Linked DNA regions of Cricetulus griseus. The protein of the gene in region 1 purifies or fractionates together with the protein of each later gene. This does not show direct contact. Links are inferred from orthologs where the notes say so. Each region holds a gene or a part of one and is shown on either strand. Other genes may lie near its edges.

Region 1 (3,818 bases):
TGGATGTTGACTTAGATCCTAGACCCTGCCTCAGGATAATTCCAAAAGGATAGTGTATGAACCATTTATGTCCCAGATACTGAGAGAGGCAATTAATGTTAAATTTTCTTAGCAAATCTGCTCACATCTCTTAGAATATGGAGAATATTTCTAGGTCATACTCTAAATAAAATTTATCTGGCCTACCTTTCCTGTGTTTGGGGTATTTTAATCTTCCTTCTCTGTTTTTGCTGTTTGCAGAGCCAGAGCCCCGAAGTGGAGCAGTTAGGGAGGGTTGTGGAACTGGACAGTGACATGGTAGATATCACTCAGGAGCCAGTTTTGGATTCTGTCTTAGAAGAGTGTGTGCCTGAGGATCAAGAGCCAGTGTCTGCTTCGACACACATTGCATCTTCGCTGGGAATTAATCCACATGTCTTACAGGTGAAGTTTTGGCTCATCCTTACTGTGGTAGAAAATCAAACTAACATTCAATTTTTTATATAATATCATAGGTCTTCTTTAATTATTTACTTAAGACCATTGAGAGTTCACTATAATGAAAAAGGAAATAGGCCCATGTCCTAGGCCTCTTTTTCCTAGTATATTGAGGATGATAAGGTGGTTTCTGTTTTTACTGCATAAAATCAAAAGATTTGTTTTCTTAGCCAAGTATTGTAACTTTACTGTCCTGACTTTAGGCAACAAATTAAACAACTGCCAGCACTAAATTCTATTAAATATCATTTTGTTGCTGGACAGTGACTTTTAATCCCAGCACTCAGAGGCAGTGGCAGGCGGATCTCTGTGAGTTCCAGACCAGCCTGGTGTACAAGAGCAAGTTCAAGAACAGCCTCCAAAGCCATAGAGAAACCCTCTCTCAAACCACCCCCCCCCAAAAAAAAAATCACTTTGTCTACTTGACAAGAGTAGTGTTGAGGTTTCAAACTTAGAAAAAATTTTTAAAAGATTTTTATTTATTATATATACAACATTCTGCTTCCATGTATATCTGCACACCAGAAGAGGGCACCAGATCTCATAACAGATGGTTGTGAGCCACCATGTGGTTGCTGGAAATTGAACTAAGAACCCCTGGAATAGCAGACAGTGCTCTTAACCTCTGAGCCATCTCTCCAGCCCCAAACTTAGAAATTTTAAGAACATGGTAAACACATGTTGAATTGCTCTCTTCCTGTAGCTGCAGCATTTTTGTATGAGTTTAACCTTTGACTATGTTTGACTTTTAAATCATTAATTCAGCAAATAACAGCAACCACTGGTGGAACACAGTGAATACAAAGAAGAGAACTTCGTGACTTCAGTCCTTCGGGTACATGCAGTATAGTGGTGTGCTACAGGTCACAAAAATGTTATACTTGCTCTTGTTACAGACTTTAGAAGAAATGGTACTTTTTAAGCTCATCTAAACTGCAATTTTCTTTTGTGGTCTTCCATTTGTGGGAAATAGTCATTCTATAGATACTGCCTTTTTTAGATCATGAAAGCATCATTGCTTGTGGATGAGGAAGATGGAGATGCCATGGATCAACACTTCAGTCACTTCCCCTCCAAAGGAGATACTGTTCAAGAAATCTGTTCTCCTAGACGCCCTATTTCAGCCTCCCACTCATCAAAATCCCGTTCAATCGGTACAGTATAAAATGTGCTGTTTTCACACAAAAAAAACTGTTGTAAGGTCATACTTTTCACATCTTCTAAGCTAAAAGGATTTCTCTAGCCTAACCCCTTATGATTTCAGTCAGCCTGAGATTTGTAGCACGATGTGATCTTTAAAACATACTAGATGTTTGTACTGGCTATAAACTTAACTTTTAAAAATGCTTAAAACTGGGCAGGAGAGATGGCTCAGCGTAAGAGCACTGACTGCTCTTCCAAGAGGTCCTGAGTTCAATTCCCAGCAAACACATGGTGGCTCACAACCATCTGCTATGAGATCTGTTGCCCTCTTCTGGTGTGCAGATATACATGGAAGCAGAACGTTGTATACATAATAAATAAATAAATCTTAAAAAAAATGCTTAAAACTCTGCATTATATGGCATGCCTTTAATTTTAGCACTTAAGAAACTAGGAAAGGAGGATTTTGCATTCAGGATAAGTCTGGCTCCTTAGCAAGACCTCACCTCAAAAAGAAATAAAAATTATTTTATGTATGTGAATGTTTTTCCTGCATGTATGTCTGTATCATTTGTGTTCCTGCTTCCCTCAGGCACTGAGGAGGGTGCGTATCAGATCATCCAAAATTGGGGCTAAAGACTTATAAGCTGTCGAGTGGGTGATGGGAAGCCAAGTCCTCTAGAAGAGCAACTATGTTCTTAACTTCTGAGCCATTTCTCCATCCCAAGAAAAAAAATAACTTTACCTTATTATAGCATTGCTTAGTAACACTTTCTCAGATCTAGTACTGAACATTAAAGTATAGTAACTTCAGTTTTTATCTATGTGAGATTGTTTTGGTTTTTTTTTTTATTTGTTTTCTGTTTGTTTGCTTTTGTTGTTGGGTTTTTTAGGATTTTTTGTTTGTTTGTTTGTTTGTTTGTTTGTTTTTTGAGACATGGTTTCTCTGTATCCCTGACTGTCCTGGAACTCTCTGTAGACCAGGCTCACTCCCAACTCACAGAGATTTAACTGTCTCTGCCTTCAGAGTGATGGGATTAAAGGTGTGCACCAGCATCATCTGGCTATTTTGTTTTTTAATTATACATAAGGCTATGTTTGTGTAAGGATTTAATGTCCTTCAGATTTATGTGTGTTTTTTGCTTGTTCTTGGTTTCGAGACAGGGTTTCTTTGTATTGCTTTGAAGCCTGTCCTCACACTTAGTTTGTAAACCAGGCTGGCCTCTAACTCACAGAGATCCGCCTGCCTCTGCCTCCCGAGTGCTGGGATTAAAGGCGTGCACCACCAACCGCCCATCGAGAACTTGTAATGCTTTTGCAGTTTGATTCCCAGCACCCACATCAGGCATCCCACAAATACCTGTAACTTTCATTCCAGAGGGATTGGACGCGTGGCATCCACAGGCAACTACAGTCATGTTGATACACCTACACGTGTACACATAATTTAAAATGAAACCTTTTTTTTTTTTTTTAATTATTGTTGCTGGGCTGGAGAGAGGACTGCACTTGGAGAGGCCCTGAGTTCAATTCCCAGCAACCACGAGGTGGCTCACAGCTATCTGTAATGAAATCTGGTGCCCTCTTCTGGTGTGCAGGCATACATGCAGACATAACATGTGTACACAATAAATAAACAATATAAGTATATTGTTTTATATATATTTATATATAAATAAACAATATATATATATATGTTTTATATATATATAAAAGTATTGTTGCTGGGCAGTGGTGGTGCACACCTTTAATTTCAGGGCTTGAAAGGCAGAGGTAAGTGAATCTCTGTGAGTTCAAGACCAGCCTGGTCTACAGAGTGAGTGCCAGTACAGGCTCCACAGTTACACAGAGAAACCCTGTCTCAAAAAAACAAACAATTATTATTATTATTATAAGCCATACAGCTTACAGCGATGGCACACTCTAATCCTTGCACTAGTGAGGCAGAGGAAATGGGATCTGAGTTCAAGGACATCTTGATCTACATATTGATCTATATAGATCAATATAGCCAGTGCTATATTGTAGCCAGGTGTGGTGGTGAGACCAGCCTGGTCTACCTAGTGAGTTCTAGGACATAAGCTACATAGTGACTGTGTCTCAAGAAATCAAAAACAAAAGTAATTATTGTAAAATCGGAATATCTTCACCCTTAGTGGTTTTTATTGCTATGGAAGAAATAAGCTGTTGTTTTAGAG
Region 2 (4,616 bases), on another chromosome or scaffold:
CTGTATGGTGGTGAGCTGCTGGCCACTGCTGATTGACTGACAGAGTCTAGGCATCAGAAATGAGCATGTTATCAATCAGAGCAAAGTTCTGAAGAATGAGCCCTTCTTCCCAGAATTTTTTTTTTTTTTTTTTTTTTTTTTGAGACAGGACTTCCAAGTGTTTGGGATTATAAGTGAGCCACCAAGTCTGCCCAATAACAGTATTTTTAAGATTATAAGATTATATCTTATTATATCTTATGTCCTTGTAGGAGAACAATTCTCCCCTTTTCTTTGTATTTGAGCATACTGATGTTTAGAAACTACTTCCATCAAATTTTTGTACATTCTAATTAGACTCACCACATTTATTTCAAACTACTAATTTTTGTTACCAAGTAGCTGAATGTTAGGGGAATAAACTAATACATAAGGGACTAACCTCTACATCTTTTTCTACATGATTCCATTAAGAAAATGAATTACAGATGGGCATGGTGGCACATACCTTTGATCCCAGCACTCAAGAAGCAGAGGCAGGGGGATTTCTTAGTTTAATGCCAGCCTGATTGACATAGTGAGTTCCAGACCAGCCAGGTCTACAATAATGAGATCCTGTCGCAAAAAAACAAAGTTATGAGTATGTGTGTGTGCCTGCCTGCCTGAGTTTATGTGCATCACACCTGTGCCGGTGCCTACTCAGGCTAGACGAGCATATTAGATCCTCTAGAGTTGGAGTAATAAGCTTTATAAGCTATTGTGAGGTACCTGGTGTGGGTGCTAGGAATGGAACCAGGGTTCTCTCCAAGAGCAGTACACACTCTCGAGCCACCTCACCCGCCCCAAGAGAAAGGTCTTTAAGTCATGGGTTTTCTGAAAACCTGGCTTCTACCCATTAAAAATAAAACAGCTGTTCTGCCCTCCTTTTGATATTTGAGATAGAAGCTGAGCATGCATTCAAGCCTGGGTGCTGGCTTTCTCCTTTCAACTCTAAAAGACTATGAAAGGAGCTGACAAAACACTGTAGGGAAATTACCACCAGCAGATGTTACTGCTAGAGCTAATAAATAGTTTATTTAAAGGATGTCCAATTTCCGAAGACACGTATGTAAGCATGATGTAGACTTTATCAAAAAGTAATATGGGGCTGGGGGTGAAGCTCAGTGCAAAAATGCATGTTTTGACCCTCATCAACCTCTAAAAAGTGGACAGTATCCTCTCCTATCATGACTCCTCTTTAAGCTAGGATTGTGCTGTGTTGCCCAATCTAGTCTTCAGCTACTGTGATCAAACAATTCTTTTTTTTCAACCTCTGCAAATGTAGGAGCTCCAAGAGAATGCCCATGATTGACTCGCTTCATGTTTAAACACTGTAAAACACTGTGAACTCATTACACACAATCTTCTGTAAGTCTTCTCATAAATAATTAAAATAAAAGTTCACTTTCCCTGTGAAGGTTCTTTACCTGGTTATTTGGATGATGAAGAAACACTGTTACACATCCTGTTGACGAAGCAGCTACGATTCTTTCCTGATCAAAAAACTAAATAGAAAAATTCTGCTTATTATTATAGATTTGGAAATATTAAGGAGAAAAAAGTCCATTACTTCACCTTGACTAATAGCAAACCTTGTAAGGATTTAAAGAAGCAAGCAGCTGAAACAAATAAAATATGTTAAATGTGTTAAAATGTTTAAGAAATTTTTATATAAACTATGAGTATTTTCATGAAGGATAAATAGTAAGTTTAAAGTTTTACTCTACATTTTGATTTGGGGCTGCAATGATAAAAGTCTTGAAATGTGTCAATCGTAAGAGTAGGCAGCTTTTTACTGAGTAAAATGCACTGCATCTGAATTGATACAGATTTTTTTTTTATGAGGGAGACTCTCTGATGCCCAAGCTCATCTAATTTCTACTAAGTTGTTAAAGAAACCATAGAAGAGCAGTCCTGCACAATATTTTCTATATGTTCAAAAGATACCAGTCTCATCTGTCTGATTAGTAAAGTGGTGAACAGAACTTGACGGCTGGGATACATACACTCAAAGGTAGAGAGCACTTCCCTAGCACATGTGAGATCCTGAGAGCATCCCCATCACAACACATGATAAACCCTGACTCACAGACATGCAATGCAAATTAACATACCTGTATAACACTCACCAAACAGCATTTGGCAAGTAGATGGGCAAATTTTGTTTGTTTTTTGAGATAAGGTCTCAAAATGTGGCTCAGTCTGGCCTTGTGATCCCTCCTGCCTCTGCCTGCCATGGGCTGGAATTAGAGGCTTGCACCCACATGCCGGCTTGGACAATTAATTTTCAAACTGATTGACACAAATTCACTTTCCCAACCCCACTTCTGTCACTAAGTGCCTAAACAACGATGTAGTAAATTACAATTCAGAGATTAGTGTCCTGTAAACCAGGAATGACAGTAGACGAACTATACGGTGCTAAATGTATGATCAGATTTCCAAGTTTAGCTTTGGGGGACAACTCAGATTTACCTGTAAATCCATGACATCACCATGATGTCTGATATCGCACAGTAATTGATGGTCTCCTTCAAACCCTCCGTCAGAATCCAAATTCCCAAAATCTCCAATAGACCACAGTGAAACGCAGTTTTCCTGCAAAGCAGAAAGTTTTATCTTGGGGTGACGAAAACGTCAACTAATTCAGACTGCCTTTCGGGCGTCCTTGCTCCAAAAGCATCTCAGACAAACGGTATGTTAAGATCTGAAACGATCAGAGATGTGGCCCGTTTCGGACGGTATGTCTACAAACTTGGTGAAGGTTTAAAACCAGATCCGAGGCTCAAATACACCACCAGGGCTCTGAGGTAGGGCAGCCAAGCAGGAGACCCGCAAGCCATAAGCTGCTTTCGCGCGCTGGCGCGAGGGGCGTGGAGCAGAGCAGCCGGGGACCCGCCCGGGGCCGGGTACCTCATTGTCCCAAGAGCCCGTAGCGAAGGTCTCTGCGGTCTGCAGGCTCCCAGAAGGCACTGGCCGCCAGCGGGTCTTGCTAATTTTCTGAGACACGAACTTAGCATAAATTTCCTCCATGCTGAAATCTAGAAGAAGCTTCAGCAGAAAGCACACTGCGCGCTCCTCAGGCCCGCCCCTTCCTGCGCGGTTCTGATTGGATGAGACCCCACGGGAAAGACGGTGGCTGCAGACAGCCAATTCTCGACATCAGGAGGACGCGCCAGCCCCTAAACTGAAGGAGGTTGTGATACCGCACTCTTGAAAGTAGTTATGAACAAAGATCCAGCCCCTAAAACCTTCAACAAAAAAGACACACTCCTAAGGCGAAATCAATCTAGGAACACTGACAATATATTATTTGTGCAATGGTCGTGTAATGTGAGAAGTTTTTTTTTTAATATTTAGGGTTTTTTGTTCATTATAAAAACTTTATTATTAAAACGTTGTAAATAAAAAAATAAAATAAATTTAAAATACGTTGTAAATAAAAAAAATCATCACACACCAAAATTAACCTGACCCAAAGACTATACAATCCAATGAACTTCCATACATTTAGCTCAGCCATTCAGAAGCTGTGGAGCTTCACATTGGATTTTATACTTTCACAAATGTATATTTACTTTAATTTTTTTTTGAGACTGTGTTTCTTTGTGGCTTTGGAGGCTGTCCTGGAACTAGCTCTTGTAGACCAGGCTGATCTCGAACTCACAGAGATCCATCCACCTGCCTCTACCTCCTGAGTGCTGGGACTAAAGGCGCTCGCCACCACCGCCCGGCTATATTTAATTTTATTAGCGAATATGTTTTTATGCACTATCTACCTCCAACTCCCCCAAAAAAAATTCATGACAGATTTAGAGGTAGGAAAACAATTGCATTTATTATTCTTTTGATAAATCTTTAAAAATATTTAATTTTTGAAATTTTTAAATTGTGTGTGTGAATATTTTGTTTGCCTGTATGTTTGTGTCTATTGCATGTGTTCATGCCTGGTGGAGTCCCTGGAACTGGAGTTACAGAAGGTTGTGAACTGCCATGTGGGTGCTGGGAAATGAACTCAGGTCCTCTGGAAGAGCAACATGTGCTTTTAACTGCTGAGCTATCTTCTCAGCCCTTAAAATAACTTTATTTTTACTTTATTTTAAGTTATCTATATGTAACTGTCTGCATGTGTATATGTGCATGTGAAGACAGGTGCCTGAAGAGGCTCTGGACATTCAGGAGCTGGAAATAGAGGCAGGTGTGAGCTCACAAAACCCATGCAGGAGGTGAGAAGCCAACACTAGCCCTCTGAAAGATCAGCAAATCCTTTTAACTGCTGAATTAGCTCTCTAGACCTGTCAGAGAAAAATCTAAGTATAAAATTTTTTCTTAAAAATTCAGGAGGAAATATCTTGTACCAGCCGTGAGCACTTAGATGAACTTCACTGCACATAGAAAATGTTTTTTAAACCTTAGGGCTGGAGAGATTGCTCAACCACTAGCAGCACTTGCTCTCACAGAGAGCCTGGGTTCAGTTCCCAGAACCTACATTGTAGCTCCATTGGTACATGCCCAGGCATGGTGGCACAAGTTTAATCCCAGCACTCAGGAGATAAAAGCAGGTAGATCTCTGTCAGTTCAAGGCCAGCCTGGTCTAC

What was found.
Region 2: the proteins of Nup98 (region 1) and Nup43 purify together in Homo sapiens (affinity purification with mass spectrometry; 4 studies listed by BioGRID and IntAct, counting the BioPlex papers as one, with this or other methods). This does not show direct contact. The link is inferred for Cricetulus griseus from reciprocal best matches to the Homo sapiens genes NUP98 and NUP43.

Annotation. Positions count from the first base shown.
Region 1 is NC_048596.1:97,236,280-97,240,097, forward strand, and holds part of Nup98 (nuclear pore complex protein Nup98-Nup96), read left to right. Parts: intron 1-240; coding exon 241-423; intron 424-1,477; coding exon 1,478-1,631; intron 1,632-3,818. UniProt on the Homo sapiens protein: Plays a role in the nuclear pore complex (NPC) assembly and/or maintenance. NUP98 and NUP96 are involved in the bidirectional transport across the NPC. May anchor NUP153 and TPR to the NPC.
Region 2 is NC_048595.1:280,415,584-280,420,199, forward strand, and holds the start of Nup43 (nucleoporin Nup43), read right to left. Parts: upstream 3,119-4,616; 5' UTR 3,052-3,118; coding exon 2,932-3,051; intron 2,617-2,931; coding exon 2,494-2,616; intron 1,524-2,493; coding exon 1,446-1,523; intron 47-1,445; coding exon 1-46. UniProt on the Homo sapiens protein: Component of the Nup107-160 subcomplex of the nuclear pore complex (NPC). The Nup107-160 subcomplex is required for the assembly of a functional NPC.